Canis lupus familiaris: one gene and its partners. The protein of the gene in region 3 interacts with the protein of the main gene of each other region in a pairwise test. Links are inferred from orthologs where the notes say so. Each region holds a gene or a part of one and is shown on either strand. Other genes may lie near its edges.

What was found.
Region 1: the proteins of FUNDC1 (region 3) and EHHADH interact in binary tests that used the Homo sapiens proteins (3 or more experiments, as listed by UniProt). The two-hybrid records come from large-scale screens. The link is inferred for Canis lupus familiaris from reciprocal best matches to the Homo sapiens genes FUNDC1 and EHHADH.
Region 2: the proteins of FUNDC1 (region 3) and TUFM interact in binary tests that used the Homo sapiens proteins (3 or more experiments, as listed by UniProt). The two-hybrid records come from large-scale screens. The link is inferred for Canis lupus familiaris from reciprocal best matches to the Homo sapiens genes FUNDC1 and TUFM.
Region 4: the proteins of FUNDC1 (region 3) and YES1 interact in binary tests that used the Homo sapiens proteins (3 or more experiments, as listed by UniProt). The two-hybrid records come from large-scale screens. The link is inferred for Canis lupus familiaris from reciprocal best matches to the Homo sapiens genes FUNDC1 and YES1.

The regions. Positions count from the first base shown.
Region 1 is NC_049255.1:18,237,378-18,241,499, forward strand, and holds the start of EHHADH (peroxisomal bifunctional enzyme), read right to left. Parts: upstream 2,801-4,122; 5' UTR 2,727-2,800; coding exon 2,653-2,726; intron 1-2,652. UniProt on the Homo sapiens protein: Peroxisomal trifunctional enzyme possessing 2-enoyl-CoA hydratase, 3-hydroxyacyl-CoA dehydrogenase, and delta 3, delta 2-enoyl-CoA isomerase activities. Catalyzes two of the four reactions of the long chain fatty acids peroxisomal beta-oxidation pathway.
Region 2 is NC_049227.1:18,524,284-18,528,246, forward strand, and holds the start of TUFM (elongation factor Tu, mitochondrial), read right to left. Parts: upstream 2,801-3,963; 5' UTR 2,646-2,800; coding exon 2,603-2,645; intron 2,500-2,602; coding exon 2,305-2,499; intron 1,850-2,304; coding exon 1,683-1,849; intron 1,429-1,682; coding exon 1,324-1,428; intron 1,234-1,323; coding exon 1,069-1,233; intron 917-1,068; coding exon 784-916; intron 703-783; coding exon 598-702; intron 486-597; coding exon 334-485; intron 227-333; coding exon 107-226; intron 1-106. UniProt on the Homo sapiens protein: GTP hydrolase that promotes the GTP-dependent binding of aminoacyl-tRNA to the A-site of ribosomes during protein biosynthesis. Also plays a role in the regulation of autophagy and innate immunity.
Region 3 is NC_049260.1:38,703,805-38,708,003, forward strand, and holds the start of FUNDC1 (FUN14 domain-containing protein 1), read right to left. Parts: upstream 2,801-4,199; 5' UTR 2,670-2,800; coding exon 2,642-2,669; intron 1,942-2,641; coding exon 1,785-1,941; intron 1-1,784. UniProt on the Homo sapiens protein: Integral mitochondrial outer-membrane protein that mediates the formation of mitochondria-associated endoplasmic reticulum membranes (MAMs).
Region 4 is NC_049228.1:67,651,986-67,656,102, forward strand, and holds the start of YES1 (tyrosine-protein kinase Yes), read right to left. Parts: upstream 2,801-4,117; 5' UTR 2,602-2,800; intron 1-2,601. UniProt on the Homo sapiens protein: Non-receptor protein tyrosine kinase that is involved in the regulation of cell growth and survival, apoptosis, cell-cell adhesion, cytoskeleton remodeling, and differentiation.

The DNA of each region.
Region 1 (4,122 bases), on a different chromosome or scaffold from region 3:
CGTCTCTCTCTCTCTCTCTCTGTGTGTGTGTGTGTTTCTCATGGATAAATAAATAAAATCTTTACAAAAAAATAAAATCTTAAGAAAGGAAAGAAAAAAATAGGCAACCTGTTAATTTTGATGAACATGGAGGGATATGTATGAGGTAAGTATAACTTCAGAATGGTGCCTGGCTGGCTCAGTCAGTAAACAGGTGACTCTTGACCTTGTGATCGTAAGTTCAAAACTCACATTGGGTGTAGAGATTATAAAAAACGCAATCTTTGGGCAGCCCCAGTGGCTCAGCAGTTTAGTGCCACCTTCAGCCCAGGGCCTGATCCTGGAGACCCGGGATCCAGTCCCATGTCGGGCTCCCTGCATGGAACCTGCTTCTCCCTCTGCCTGCGTCTCTGCCTCTCTCTCTCTCTCTCTCTCTCTGTGTGTGTGTGTGTTTCTCATGGATAAATAAATAAAATCTTTACAAAAAAATAAAATCTTAAGAAAGGAAAGAAAAAAATAGGCAACCTGTTAATTTTGATGAACATGGAGGGATACGTATGAGGTAAATATAACTTCAGAATGGTGCCTGGCTGGCTCAGTCAGTAAAGCAGGTGACTCTTGACCTTGTGATCGTAAGTTCAAAACTCACATTGGGTGTAGAGATTATAAAAAACGCAATCTTTGGGCAGCCCCAGTGGCTCAGCAGTTTAGTGCCACCTTCAGCCCAGGGTGTGATCCTGGAGACCCGGGATCGAGTCCCATGTTGGGCTCCCTGCATGGAGCCTGCTTCTCCCTCTACCTGTGTCTCTGCCTCTCTCTCTCTCTCTGTGTGTGTGTCTCTCATGAATAAATAAATAAAATCTTTTTTAAAAATAAAATCTTAAAAAAAACCCTGCAATCTTTAAAAATGTATTTATATGACTTGAGAAGAAGATAGAAGAAAGAATGGGAAAGCATTCCCAAGTAGAGAAAACTCGATGAAGCTGAAATAAACCCCAGGTGGCAGCAGGGCCTGCTGCATGGGTTTGCCATGATGGTAGCTAACATCTGTGCAATGCCAGTTTATGATCTCTAGTGGAGGTAGACTTCACCACAATGTTATGATATGAGGTAGATACAAACATTTCTGTTGCATGGGGGGTGGGGCGGAGTAAATATGAGAAATGCTTAAAATTCCTATGAGAAAATATTTCTAGTTATGGGTATTAGACTGTGAAGCCTTTTTACCAAGTTAATGTCGGGCATGGTTTCTGGTTATGAGCAGAGGCTGAGGCAGAGTCCTAGTATTTAGTATCTCTAACTAAAATACAGACAAGTCCCAAAGGGATATGTAATGATATTATGTTTTTCTTCATCAAAACCAAAACAATGGATATTTTGCTTTCTTTTTCTGAGACTGGCAAGAAAGTGGACATATCCTTGTGAGATTTTATTCTTGCACTTTTTTGGTATTATTAAGTGCAATAGCTTATATTAAAAATATGAATTGTTATATTAATACTCATGATAAAATCAAATCTGATGACACTAAGATAAAAATTAGCAGGTCTCCTCATTGCTGTCTCTTTTTTGCTCCAGCGGTATGTGATAAAAATGTTGATCAAAGGTCTTTCTTCCCTGTTTTATATATTTCTCGTAAATTATAATTTCTGCTAATCCTACTCTCTGGGGATGGGTGGCTCTTTCCTAGGCTGATGATCACTATCCTTTTTACAAAGACATGCCAAGAACCAAACCTATATAATTAAACATTTTTAAAATTAGGGACGCCTGGGTGGCTCAGCGGTTGAGCATGTGCCTTTGGCCCAGGGCCTGATCCTGGAGACCCAGGATTGAGTCCCGCGTTGGGCTCCCTGCATGGGGCCTGCTTCTCCCTCTGCCTGTGTCTCTGCCTCTCTCTCCGTGTGTGTGTGTCTCTCATGAATAAATAAATAAATCTTAAAAAAAAAAAAAATTGAAACCGGAAAAACAACCAGTCTGGAAAGCACTGCTGTTAAGTGCACGGAACAAATCCGTGTGCGGTTTAACAAGGAAGGTGCTCCACGGTGAAATAAAAGAAGATAAACTGCACAGTCGTTTTTCAGGAAATGCTACTTAGTGGGCTTCTCCAAACCAACGTATCCTCCACTGAAGCACCAACGCCTCCGAGTCTAGAACAGACCAGGAGAAGAACTTTGCATTTCTGCACCATGCCGCAATTCGCCTGTCCTCACTGCCTGGGCATTAATGAGGGGCATTTACTTATTTACAAGTGGGAATTTCTAGATCATTCGGCCACACATTAGGGTGGCCCGGACTCGAGTCTGGGAAGTGAGGAGGGATCAAGGTCCCGCTGGCTCTGTGCCTTTGGAGTCGAGCGCGCCCGAGAAGTCAGCGCTGCCCGCCAGCCCACGGGTGGAGCACGCAGCCGGCGCCGACGGCCCGGGTTCGAGCCCAGCTGCCCCACGTCCCCGCTCTCCTGCCTCTGAGCCTCAGCTGCCTTTCCACACCAGCGAAACACGGATCGGAGTTCGCCGCGAACGCTAACCGAGCTGACCCAAGCTCGAAGCCTGGCAGGCGCCGCGGTTCCATCCGTGCCCGTGGCTTCCGGCGTCTACACCCGCCGCGGAGTCGAGCCCCGCCGGGAGGGCTGCCCGCCGGGCCGGGCCGGGCTGGGGGCGCCCGAGCCGTTACCTGATGGCGTTGACCGGCGGGTTTCGGAGGCGGATCAGCGCCAGGCAGTTGCGCAGCCGCGTGTACTCGGCCATGGCTCCCGGGCGCGGAGGTCGCAGGCGCCTCCGGCGCTGGGCGGGCGATGCCGCCTCCCCCGCGGCCCCCGCTGCCCGCCCGCCGGCCCGAGGAGGGGCGCCCGCTGGGCCAATGCGAGCCCGGCGCCGCCCCCGCGCCCGCCCCCCGCGCCCGCCCCCGCGCCCGCCCCCGCGCCCGCCCGCGGACACCCGGCACCGCCCCCCCTCCTCCGGGACCCCAGCCCCGCGCTCCGCAGACGCTCGTGATCTCTTCCTCGGCCTGGGCTCCCGTCACCGCGCAGATCAGAGAGGCCCGCGGGCAGTGGTGCGCCTGGCAGCAAGTCCAAGGTGGCAACCCCTGGCCCAGGGCGGCTGCCCTCCCGGGAGCCTCCTGGCTTCACTAAGTCGGTGGAGCTGTCCTCGGTTTTCAGCTTTATGATCCTTCTTAACAGGGATAGATACCTGGAGTCATGACAATTAAGGTGACCTGACACACGCTTGGAACATTACACACATGATGAATTAAACCCAAGTCGGTGTGGTGCCAACCACTTAACATAACAGTAGTTTCATGTCTTAACTATAACGGCGCAGCCTGGTGAAATATATGGGTGTCTTGTCTGCCCTAACCTTCTTTTTTCTTTTTAAAAAGATTTCCCCCAATTTTGTTGAGATATAATCATATCTCATTATATATATGTTGTATACATGTATAAATTTTGTTGAGATATATCTCATTATATATGTTATATATATAATGACATACATCATTATATAAGTCAAAGTTATACAGCATAATGATTTGACTCACATAGATCGGGAAATGATTGCTGCAATAAGTTTAGTTAACATCCAGCATCTCATATATAGATAGAAAAATAGACATATAGAAAAAAAAAACCCTCTCTTTTCTTCTTCTGTCATTTCTAAGGATTGTGATTTCTAATACTTTATTCATCCATGAATTGAGCCCCCAATGTGGAGGCCGAGAAAAATTAAGGCCATTCCACCTCAAGTTTAGCATTAGCACAAGTACAGCCATCTTAGGCCCCTGGGAATAAGACCTGAACTTTACAGGAAAAACTGCAGAATGTCCTCGGCAGGAAATCCCATATGGGAGACAACAGAGCTCAGAATTGCCCTCAGCAGGAATCCCATATCATATCTTGAGAAACTCCCCCACCCTTTCCCCCATATAGGAAAAAAAAAATTCCTCCACCCCTTCTGAAAATCCCCTAGACCAGCCCATAAAAAACTCAGCTGTAACCCACTTCGGGGTCCAAGCCTCTGCTCTGCTCTGCAGAGTATACTTGGACCCAAGCTCGAGCTTGTAAATAAACCCTCGCGTGTTTGCATCAGTGTTGGCTCCTTGGTGGTTTCTCGGATTCGCAATTTTGGGCACAACACCACTCACTAT
Region 2 (3,963 bases), on a different chromosome or scaffold from region 3:
CAAGGAAAAGTCACCCATGTTGTCACATAATTGGAACTGTGAGTAGATAGAGCTGATAACGAAGAGTGTCTCTTCTACTTCTTCACATTCCCTGTACCCACCATACCTTCCCTGGTGGCAAGATAACCCGACAGGCCATGTCCCAAGTCAGGGAGAACATGACAGGCATGAAGTGGGACACAAAAGGCTTATGGCGGCCACCCTCTTCTTTGCTGAGGATATAAACCTGCAAGAGAGAGAACAAGGGTGAAGCTATGCTTGGTTGGAAAGACTGCCTCTGCATGGGGCAGTTTGGCTCAGCACTGCCCATCCTCATTGGGAGCCCTCCCTCACCTGTGCCTCCACCTTCTGGTGGGGCTGGATGGATCCTGGCTTAGCCATGACCAGGCCACGCCTCAGGTCCTCCCGCTTCAAGCCTCGGACCAGGGCCCCCAGGTTGTCGCCTGCCTCTGCCCTCTCCAGACTCTTGTGGAACATTTCAATACCTAGGAGGGAGGCGAGACAAGGGAGGAGGGTCTAGGGCAGAGGGAAGGCACAAAGGATCTGCAAGGGAAATCCTGGAGCCAGACCCTGGGTCCCAAGGCATCTTTCCCATACCTGTTACCACAGTGCGAATGTTCTTGCTATGTCCCAGGAACTCACACTCATCTCCCTTCTTCAAAATGCCACGCTCTAGTGTACCTGTCACCACCGTGCCCCGGCCTGGAAAAAAATAGGACAGGACATCAGGTATTCTGGATCAGGCTATAGCTAGAGAAGGGTGCAAGTGAACAGGGTCCTCACCAGGAATAGAGTAAATGGACTCTACAGGCAGCAGGAAAGGCTTCTCCAGGTCTCGGGTGGGTACTGGGATGTAAGTGTCCACAGCATCCAGCAGCTTCTGCACAGACTTCACGCCTAGCTCGGGGTCTCGTTGCTATGGGGGGAGATGACAGGATTCTGAAATTGTCATTCTGTTCCTCTTACTAAGAGATGCTCCCCAGACTCAAAGCAAAGCTCTGGACACCCATCCAGCCCCATCCGATGCCAGTAACAGCCCTTGCCTGACCCCCTCCCCCCCCCCCTCACCTCAAGGGCACAGAGGGCAGAGCCTATGATGACGGGGGTCTCTTCCCCTTTGTAGCCAAACTCAGTGAGCAGTTCCCGGATCTCCAGCTCAACCAGCTCCACCATCTCAGGGTCTTGGACAGCATCTGCTTTGTTTACGTACACCACAACATGCTCTACTCCAATCTGTGGATGGCAAAGAGAGAGAAATAGTATCCTGAATGGACCCAATTTCCCACTCTTTCTCTTTCCACCCCTCCCCAGGCTCTTGAGTACCTGTCTGGCCAGAAGCAGATGCTCTCGGGTCTGGGGCATAGGGCCGTCATTGGCCGCCACCACCAGGATGCAGCCATCGAGAGGGGCGGTGCCTGTGATCATATTCTGAGTAGGAAGAGAGGAAACAACAGCCCAGTTCAAGGACCCCCTCACCTCAGCTCCAAATCCGTCTAACCAAGCACAGCAGTTAGGAATGGAGGCCCACCTTTTTCTGCTATCTCCTTACCACCCACTTTGAGTGGCTATGCCCAGAAATCCAGGACCTCAACCCATGCACCCTGAATATCCTAACCTCTCCACAAGTCCAACATTTTTTCTGGTGGGAGACAGCCCCTGACCCTGTACCCAGCAACACTCACCTTAACGTAATCTGCATGACCTGGGCAATCTGTGTGGGCATAGTGGCGGGCAGCAGTGCTGTACTCGACGTGAGCCGCGTTAATTGTGATTCCTCGGGCTCGTTCTTCAGGGGCATTGTCAATCTCTTCATATTTCTTAAACTTGGCTCCACCTCCCTCGGCTAAAACTAAGGGGAAGGAGAAGAATAAGCCTCTCAGATGAAGTACCAGAGGTAAGGAGGCAAGGCTTAAGCCACACCGAGTCCCTCCCACCTACTATACAAAAGGACCGTCGGCCAGAATAATGTGTCCATGACACACCCTCAGCTCCTGCAGTGGGTGTAACTCGGGTCAGAGGGAAATGTAACAAGGCCTCATGGTCCAGCCCTGCGACTTCTCTAGGGTAAAGCACCCTCTGCCTACAGGGTACTGGCCACGACAAGAGAGAGGCCATTCCGGCTCCCCAGCTTATGCATCACAAAATCTTTCACGTTCAGGAGAAATGTGTTTCCCGCATCTTGCAATCCACTGCCCGCAGGGTTCTGGCTCCTGGGGCCACAACACTTCCAGCAGCACCTCCCCAGCTCCAGGTCTCTCCTGCTGGGCGGGCGCTTCCGGACGCCCCCGACCCATCCCCGCTTACTCTTGGTGATGGCCGCGGTCAGTGTGGTCTTGCCGTGGTCCACATGGCCGATGGTGCCCACGTTCACATGGGGCTTGTCGCGCACATAGGTCTTCTTGGCCTCCACGGCCAGGCCACGGCATAAGCGGGGCAGGGCTGGGGCCTTCAGCGGCCGCAACAGACCCTGCAGCAGGGAGGTCGGGCCGGCGCCGAGACCTGCCGGGGCAGAGGCTGGGAGTCAGGGCGCGGGTCCGATCCCGGCCGCTCGCGACAACCCCCACGTGGCCCCGCGCCGCCATGGCCTTCCCCGCCCCCTCACCGCTCAAGAGGGGCGTCGCGCGCAGCAGGGTGGTGGCCGCCATGGTGGTCGTACTCGAGCCCCGAGTGCCGGGTCCCGGGCGCCCGCGCGTGCTGAAAGGGAAGGGCACGGGGGACTGGAGGTCACTTCCGGCGGAAGTGAAGGCCCAGAGCACAAGTCTGGGTCTCTCTAGCCTCCAGTCTTCATGGCCATCATACGACTTCCGGGCGTAGGACCCAAGACAAGGCCGGGAAGGTGCCGGTGTCTCGAGGGCGGGGAGGGAGGGAGGTTTCCGCAGCGCCCTCGGGCCTCGCGTGCTGATGAGGGCAAAGCGGTTGTCTCTGGCGGCGACGTGGAGCGTCCGGTCTCTCCCCAGCGCCGCGGAGGCTCACGGGCGTTGTAGTTCCCGGGGCGGCGCGCTGTGTTTGCGCGGGGCCTGGGAGTCAGGTAGGGCTAGGCGGGGTCGGGAGCGAGGGGGCCGGCCTCCAGGAGCCCGAGGCGGCGGCCAGGGCCCGGGCTGCTCGGGGGCGTTCTGGCCCAGAGCCCCCGGGAGGCCGACGCACCGCGCGGGTCTGGCGAGAGATCTGGCGGCCGTTGAGCCGCCGCTGGAGGTAGGATCAGGCCCTGCGGCCAGGCTGAGACACACGGGCCTGGAAGCCTTTCGCGGGTAGCGCGCAAATGTGACCCATCTCTCCGCTGAGCCTTTGTTTTCTTATCTGTAAAATGGGAACAGTAGTATCTACTTCGTGGGGAGATTCTGACATCTGGCCCTGAGAGGAAATGAGCTGGACAGGAGGCAGCAATGAGCCCAGGGGCCTCCGGGCCCCACAGTCCTTGACCCTCAAATACCCGCCCTCGGGCTCACAACCTGCGGGGAGAGACAACTTGGCCGTCCACCCCTGGGGCCCCCCAGCAGGCCAGAGACTAATTCCCTTGATCGCTACCCAGTTAACGCAGATGGTACCGAGGTGAGGGACCCGCCGCAGGTGCCCATACCCGCAGCCTGAGTCTTTCTTGTTCCTGCAGTGTCCCCAGCACCAAACATAGGGTGGGGCACCCAGTGAGCGCTCAGGAAACTTCTGTTGACTGAACAAGTGAGTGCAAACCTCGCAAATGACCTTTAACTTTCACCTCCATCATCTCATCACCCTGGGATGAGAATGGCAGTGCTTAACCCAAATGGTGTTTCCCAAACTCATCAGATCCTAAGACTCCACCCATGGTTTTTGTTTCAAATAGATCCCCTAATTCCTCCCTTGAAGATTATAATTCAGGAGGGTCTGAGCACAGACAGGGAAACTATTTATTATACCACACGCTGTTTCCCACGCTCCAAAACTCAGAGCTAGAGCTTTGTGTGTGTATCAGGCATTGTGCAAATG
Region 3 (4,199 bases):
AATCTCTTTAGCCTCCCATGCATATCCTGAACCTGATATGCTTCTCCTTAATGCATTCCACAATATTATTACAGAGTTCAGAGTCTGCAATGTTAACTGGTTAGGTTAATGCCTATTAACCATTCCTCCTTAACACATGCCACGATAGTACATCAGTTTTCTACCTTAAGAAAATTGCAGAAATTTACTGCACTGAGTCTAAAGTCATTGCAACAAACCACCCGTGTAATATTGGAGTCCTATTACACAGCTCCTGAGCCGACGACACCTGGCTGTAACCCAAACATACGTATTACTATAAAGACCACAGCTGCCAGTAGGGAAGTCAGCAACAAAGGCTCTGATGGGGGGGGGGAGCAGCAGCCAAGTCACAAGTACATCCCAGAGACCATGTCTCACAAGCATGTCTATCCTTTGCTTAACAGCATGAGCCATCAAAATTAAACTACTAACTTCCCCTGCTCTGTCTCTAGGCTTTCCAAGCAAACTTCTGCCAATTATGGGGCTTCTCACCAAGTCTGGCCTACAAGGAGAATGCACACAATGTGATAATTCTATCGCTTAATTATTCTTTTAGTGTCTTTTAAGATGGGGCTTTAGGCCCAGACTCCCATTAACCAATCAGCCATGGCACCAACGTGTGAGCTTATGTGAGCAGAGCACCAGACTCCATTATGGAGGATCAAGGTACAAACTATCTGTGGAGGATCAACTGAATAACCAGGGCCCTGACCAGGCATCTCTCTTCTAGTTGCAGGTCTTTTCATAAGCAGCATTAATAAGCACACATCATGAAGAAATACTGTACCTTTGCATCACAGAATCTTCACAATGCATGTTTCTACCATAAAATAGCATTTACAAAAAGGCATAAAGGAATGAACCTTGTTCTAAGGTACATATAAAACACAAATCAAAAAGCTTAATGCTTATCAAGTTTAAATATGTAAATATTTAATGTAAGATAAATTTAACCTAGAACTAAGGGAGAAAAATGATTACTCACAAGCTAAGCACTCCCACAAACGTCAAAAATTCTCCACGATCATGAACATTTTCAAGATAAAGGGCCATACTTGTTTGACCCTTGTTATTTGGCTAATCTTTTATTCCAAGAATAACAACTTGATCTACAGTAGCAATCATGTCATCATGCAGCCCAAAACATTAATTGGTTAGTTAGGTTAATGCTTAACTGCTTCTCCTTAATGCATTCCACAATATTATTACAGAGTAAGCAATTGGTCCTTCAATTCCAACTCTTCTTCAAAGTATTATAATAATCCAAATTAGTCCACAAAAATCAACAGAACCATTTGATTCACAATAATTTTCATTGAGAATTTTACACGGCTTTCTACAGAGCTCTCAATCCTAGAGACCAATTCTACTGTGGGAGTCCTCAAAGGTCTTTCCAGTTGTTAGCATTGCACAAGTAAAAATTATTTACATATAATTAGCCCTCAGATGGATCTTCCTTTTTACCCACTCTCACTGAATCAGATACACTACATTTGCTAAATGTGAGAAGGTGGAAAGTACGTAAAGAATCAAAGGAAGGGAGAGGGACCAGGGGAACAAGTGGTGGGCGTGGGGAAGCCAATCACCAAAACCACTGTCTCCAGACTGTAGATCACACCAATCATATCACAGAGAAGAGCCTCAAGGTAGAGCTCTTCTGGGATTAACAGTGTAAAACCACTGAATGCGCTCAGTAACTGGCCTGTTTACGGAAGGGCAGCAGTAAGGCTGCCAATGAAATCTAATGAAAAAGATGTTCTCACCAGCCAGTCACTCCACCCATTACAATCTGGGTGGCTACCGAGTATTTTTCAACCATAGGTCCGGAACTGTGGCCAAACACTCGATTCCACCAATGGTGTCTTCTTGCATACTCAGTTAAATCCAACACTTCATAAGACTCGTCATCGCTTTCATACTCTTCAAAATACAAAATGGAAAAAATAAATTTAGAGTTAACCAAAAGTCAGAAAGGTCCTTACATTTTTTAAAAAATCTGTCATTAACTGTTACTTTCTTACAGCTAAAAATGCCCAGATGGAAACCTTAGGTTGTTAAACCCCACACCTGAGACTAGGGCCTCAAGAGTAAAAGGGCCTAGCATCTCCCTTCCAAAGGCCCAGGGACCGGCCTAGAGGCCGGAGCCAGAGCCACGTCAGAGTTACACAGAAGTGAGGGGTCGCCTCCCCAAATGGCAGTAAGGCCAGGTCAGACTTTCACGGCATAAACGGTCGCCCCCAAATCTCAGTCGGGTCAGGGCCCGAGCTAGAGATCCATTTTCATCAGTGGGACAAAGAGGGGGTCCTCCACTGACAGAAGCGGTTAGGGGCCTGGCAAGATGAAATTACTTCAGTAATTCATCAGAAATGCCAAAAAGCACGTCTGAAGATGGAAACGAAGGGCCAGAGGGGAAGGTAAGGCAGGAAGCAGGGCTGTGTTGGGGTCGGGGGTCGCTCTCCGCCAGAGTTCAGCCGTAAGAGGAGGGCGTCTAGTTCTAAAGGGGTGCGTCCAAAAAAGAGCCCCTGGATCCCTGGGGCAGGGGAAGAAGAGGCGCCCCCGGGGGCAAGGTCGAGAGCTGTGAGCCACGTCCGAGATACTACTTCGGGCCCCGGCCGCTCACCTTGGGGAGGGGGGTTCCGGGTCGCCATGATACCGCCGGCGGCCTGCTCTGAAGGTGGTCCCCACCCGCCCTCCTCTCCCCACTACTTTAAGAGACCTTCTAGGCCCAGGTGAAAGTCTATGGTCTCTTTCTTTCCTCCTCCCCTTTCAGGCGCGTTGTGTCGTCCCCGCCCCTCCTCTCAGCGCAGGATTTTCCGCGCAAGCGCAAGCCTCCGGGTGGGAAGCGTGGGGGAGGGAGGGGAGCTGCCGCGCGAGGGCTTGTGGGAAGTGTAGTCCGTTGCCCTCCGCAGTCCTCGCTTCTCACCCCACCCCCATCGCTCCTAGAATCTCAGTAACTATATTTTGTGATTCTGTTTTAAAGAGCCTCAAGGCTGGAGGAGAGGCGGCGTCACATGATGATATAAAGCGAAAAGCAGCTTGGCATGCTCAACACTGTACCAGAATGCAAGCGCCTGAGAAAAAAGGCTTTTAAAGGGAGATAAGAGAAACCGTGTTTCAAACCGCACTTTTTGTACGGAGGCAAGGGCACGACAACAGATGGAAAATTTTTGTAACGTGCTGCTGCTGGGAACGGGAACCTGTTTATCCGCTCCCTCTCCACATGTTTCCTGCCAGGAACCCAAGGGAAGTAGAGAAAGGCCTAGGGACTGACCTGACACGATGTTCAAGAGGACATAATTTTTTTTTTTTAGCATCATTTTTATTATTTAAGTCTGACAGAGGAACGAGGTCAGGCTCTTCACCCAGAAGCCCCACCAGATTCGAAAGCCGTGTTGATTACCAAGCAGCTAACTCAGGTTCATATAAACCGGTCCCTAAACCTGTTTCGAACTTGCAGGACCACCTGCATTTGCTGTACAATTAAAAAAAGCCCTCTCTGCACTTGTTTTAATGGAAAAACAAGGAATTCAGGTACAGGTTGTGTAGGAGCGCAGGGCAAGCTGCCCCCAAATGTACTGCGCTGGCATATTGATTATTTTGAATTGAATCAACCCAGGAAACAACCTGGTACAAGTACACTCAGATCCTCCTTTGTCCCCCACTGAAAGCAGGAAATAAATTTCCCGTGTGAAAAATGCCCTCCCTGTACTAAGTAAAAAGACGTCCTTATCACCAGAGATAGGAACTTTAAAGTGGAGAAAGCTGGAGAAATGAGCCTTGTTATTTATTTTTTTTTCCTAATCTACTACCTCACTCAGCCCAAATTCTGTTCAGAATTCCTTACTAACTAAAGCTCCCAAACCCCTATTTTCTTTGTCCTGTCAATTCCTCAGGAATTTCTTGTCTCTGTCTAAAATATATCAAAACTGCCAGCCTTGGTCATTTCTTAGGGTCTCAATTTCATTATTGGACTTCCATGCACATGTAATAAAACTTTTTTTCTTAACCTCCTGTTCACCTGTCTCCTATGAATTCAACTCCTAAACCAGCTAGAAGCAGCCTACAGGGAAAGAAGGAAATTTCTCCCTCCAGTACAGTTGCCTCACTTAAAATATTGACTTGCATAATTGCACTGAGTTTTTCGAATCCTGATGCTTTAAATGCAAGGGTTGATTTGC
Region 4 (4,117 bases), on a different chromosome or scaffold from region 3:
GTCACTAAATGTTAAGTTCTTTACCCAAGCACCTTATATAGTACATTACACAGTCTTCTTAAAAAAAAAAAAAAAAAAAAAAAAAACCATTGGAACCACCAGCAGGTTAAAACTTTGTAACCACTACAGAATCTGGGTCCCAATCACAACTTCCTCCCACCTCCCATATCTTTACTTGTACAGAAATCACTTCCTTGCAGGTTTTTTTTTTTTAATTATACTTTTATTTCCCAAGTTTGTATTCCCAGATACCAGAGCTTAGTAGTGCTTTTTGATATTAGGTGCTTTTTAAAATTGAAGTACAAATGACATACAACATCCTACGAGCTTCAACTGTACATCATAGTGATTTGATATTTTCTATATTATGAAACAATTCCCTCCTAAGTCTAATTACCACCTGTCACCATACAAAGTTATTACAAGAATATTGACTATATTCCCTATGCTGTACCTTACATTCTTCTGACCTATTTTGTAACTAAGTTTGTACCTCTTTTTAATATAATGCTAAAAGGATAAATGACAACTACACTGAACACTACATCGAGTTAAACACGTTTATAAAGAAAAATTACTCACGTTAACAAATTTACTGCCTAAAAAGATGCAAATTTGGACTTTGTATAAATAAACCTTATACCACAGGTTGGTAATATTTCACTTAATACTGCATTGTTGCTATTAGCCTGTAACATTTATTCTTTCAACATTACATATCATGAAGGAGATCTATTTGCATGGACATTGATTTTTTTTAGCTTGAGATTTTCCTGAATTAAAAAAAAAGAAAACTCCACCCATATATTAATATTATACTTCAGTCATAAGACAAATTCCACCTATCGCAGGAAGACGGGTCAAAGTCATAATTTCGCTTTCAGTAGACTAGAAAGGAGTCAATTTTGTGGTTTATGAAGTCAGCAAAAACATACTGCAAAATTAAAAGCTATTATAACGTTATGGTGGTTATACGAGAGTACATATTTTAAAAGCTTTTTTTTCTTTTATTCTGGAAACATGGATACGAATGGTCTTGTATTTAGATTCGAATCAAAGGCAAGTGTTTCGTTTTATTTTTCAATCTTAAGACCCTATGAATTGGTCAACCAGCATTCAAAATCGCCACTGAGGTTTGGGTAATGTCCAAAATTTACAATAATTAGACTTCCTTTTCTTAAATGTCAACGATGACAGTGGTCTCACATATCAGTAAAACAAAGCAGATGTATGACTGAAGTGAAATAAAACTTTCTTACAGAATGTACGAAATATATATATATATACGTGTGACGCACACAAAATCCTCGTTCTCCTACATGACACTCCTTCGTTACCTGCCCATTCAAAATGTTTTCTGTCCACCGTGAGCCACTGCCCTAGTTATTAGATTCACCAGGTACTATGCTTTAAGTACACAGTCACATGTACCCATTTAGTAGTATCTTCCTTAGTCCGTAACTTTAGACATTTACCAGGATGTTTCACAAATACTCAGAATTATCGAGATACCGTTGGCACCGCAATCCTAGAGTTATGAAGACACACGTATACCACAATCTTATGCATGTACATGTCAAATCATGTATGTGAAAGCACACCATGAAACACACGTACCTAATGGCATGAACATCAAGTTGCGATTCCACTAGAGACGTCTCGTTTCCTTAACGATTTATAGATTGCTAGACCGTGGGTTATTCCACGCCTGTTTCAACTAATCACGCAGAAAGTAATTCAACCAAATCCGAACTATGCTGTGTCCCACCCACCACAAAACAAAAATTAAAGCAGTCCCTGCCCTGGACTTATTTGCCACTCATCAGAAGGCAAAAATCAAAGCCATCCATCCCTACACCGGACTTGGTTTCCAAAGGGCTTCCGAAAACGACGCTAACCCCATGCCCAATGAAGCAAAAGCTGGAAGCGATTACCAAGAAGGAAAACACACTTTAAACCAAAATTTCCTGCACCATGTGGACAGAGAAGCGAACCCAATGGGAGGTGGAGCGGCAGAACACTGTAAGAGCGGACGCTGAATGGCATCCTTCCCAACCCCCAACCCAAAACAAAGGAAAACTTTAAACATGTTGCGGTTTTCAATCAAACCAAGCAAAGCGAGAGGCTCCCCCCCTCGCCCCCACACACGCCCACGTCCGCTCTCCCAGCACAGTTGCCACCCGGCGTCTTACCACGGGGACCCTCCGGCTCCGGGACAGAACCGGGCTGCGGCTCCCGGCCCCGCCGGCGGCCGCGGGAGCCACCAGCGACCTCGCCCCCGGGCACCGCCGGGAGGTAGCGCACCGCTCCCAGGACCTGCGGTCGGACCTGGGCGGGCCCGGGAACGACGGGACGGGGCGGAGACCGAGTCAGGGGGGCGAGCAGGTAGCGCCGGGAAGGAGACACGCCCGCCGGGCCGGCCGGGACGGGGGAGGGGAGAACTTTCTCCCCAACTTCCCGACTCCGAGCCTGCCGGGGCGGGGAGCGCCGGCGCCTCGGGGCGCGGGCGCGGGGGCGCGCGGGCGGGCGGGCGCCGGGGCCTAGCGCTGCCCGGGCCGGGGTCGGCCGCCTCCGCCCGGGGGGGCCCAGCCGGGTCCTTACCTGCCCTCCAGCCGCGCTCTCATGAGTCGCCGCTACCGCGGCCCGGGGCGGCGAGGAGGGGGCGGTGGGCGGAGGCGAGGCCCGCGGGGCCCTCTCCCTCCTCCACCTCCTCGTCCCGAGCGCCCGGCCGCAGCGACGACGGCACAGCCGCCCCGCACTCGCCGCTTCAGGAGGAGGGAATTCCCGGGCTCCCCCACCCTTCGGCCTCACTCTCCACCTCCACTCCGCGCGGCGCCCGCCCTCACTCCCGGCTCCGCCCCTCCGCGGCGGGGGCGGGGCGGGGGCGGGGGCGGGGGCGGGGGCGGGGGCGGGGGGGCGGCTACCTGCGCGCGCGGCCGGCCCGCTCACCGGAACTCACGCCGCGCCCCCCGCCTTCCGGCGCCGGCGCGCTCGGCGGCTGTGGGCCGCGGGCCGTCCCCCTCCCCCCCCCCCCGCACGCCGTCCCGGTCGGCCGCGAGTCCGGGTCACTTATCCGGACCCAACATGGCGGCGGGGTCCGGGGCGGATTCCCGAGGCGGCGCGGGCTGAGGGGGCGTGAGGAGGCGGAGCGCGGCCGCTGCGGCCGCGGACTACCGGCCCCGGGAGGTGGAGTGAGGGAGGCTCCCGCCCCCTCTTTCTGGGTTCCCTTTGCCCCGCGCCGTCGTGCCGAGGGCTTCGGGCTTTGTGTGCGTGGGGAGGACGGGCTTGAGTGCGTGCCTTCTGGGACGAGGCTTCCGCACCCCTCGTCGCTGGTGGGGAGACCTCAGCCCCGCCGCGTGAGCCCGGGGGCGCGTCACTAGGCGCTCTTCGCCGGCCTGGTCGCCGTCCAGAGACGCTCGCGTCTGGCCTCCTTCCGAGCCGGGGATCCTGTCCCAGCGCGGGAGCTTCCTGTTGACTGTTGGTCGAGCCAGCCTTGCCGGGAGGGGAACCGGAGCCGGGTTCTCCTGGCGAGCTCCGGGGAGCGGTGGCCTCGGCTGATGCCCCGGCAGCCTCCCCCGGGGGGACAGGTGTGCATACCCTGCCGGACGGCTGCGCCCCCGAAAGTGCGGCAGCCCCGGCGAGAACTCGGCTCGGGGAATCCGGGCACCTTTCCCGTGTGCTCGGCGGCCGGAGGCTGGAGGACAGGGAGAGGGTCCGGAAGGAACAGACCGAGCCCGCAGGCTCTTCTGCCGAAGCCACTGCCGCGCTGTGCGACCCGAAGCCTGACTCCCCCCTGCACTTCCTCCTCGGTGGGGCTGTCGGGACCATTCGTGTGGGTCTGTTGGTTTCCTTTGCGGTTTTCAGTGAGATTCGGAGTCCTCTTTGACAAATAAATAATACAATCGTATGTGTCAGAATTCTGGCATTCTAGGAACTTAGGAAATGAATATAAAGGTTTGGATTTTTTTCTTCTTCAGCTCACTAAAATGAAGCAAAGGGGAGCCTAGGCGTTCCCGTTGCCAAAAAGGTACCCATAGTGTGGCATGGTGCTTTAATTTGATTTAGCTACTAGAATTTCACTTCCCCTTAACTGTATTGGGGATTAAACATTTTCATG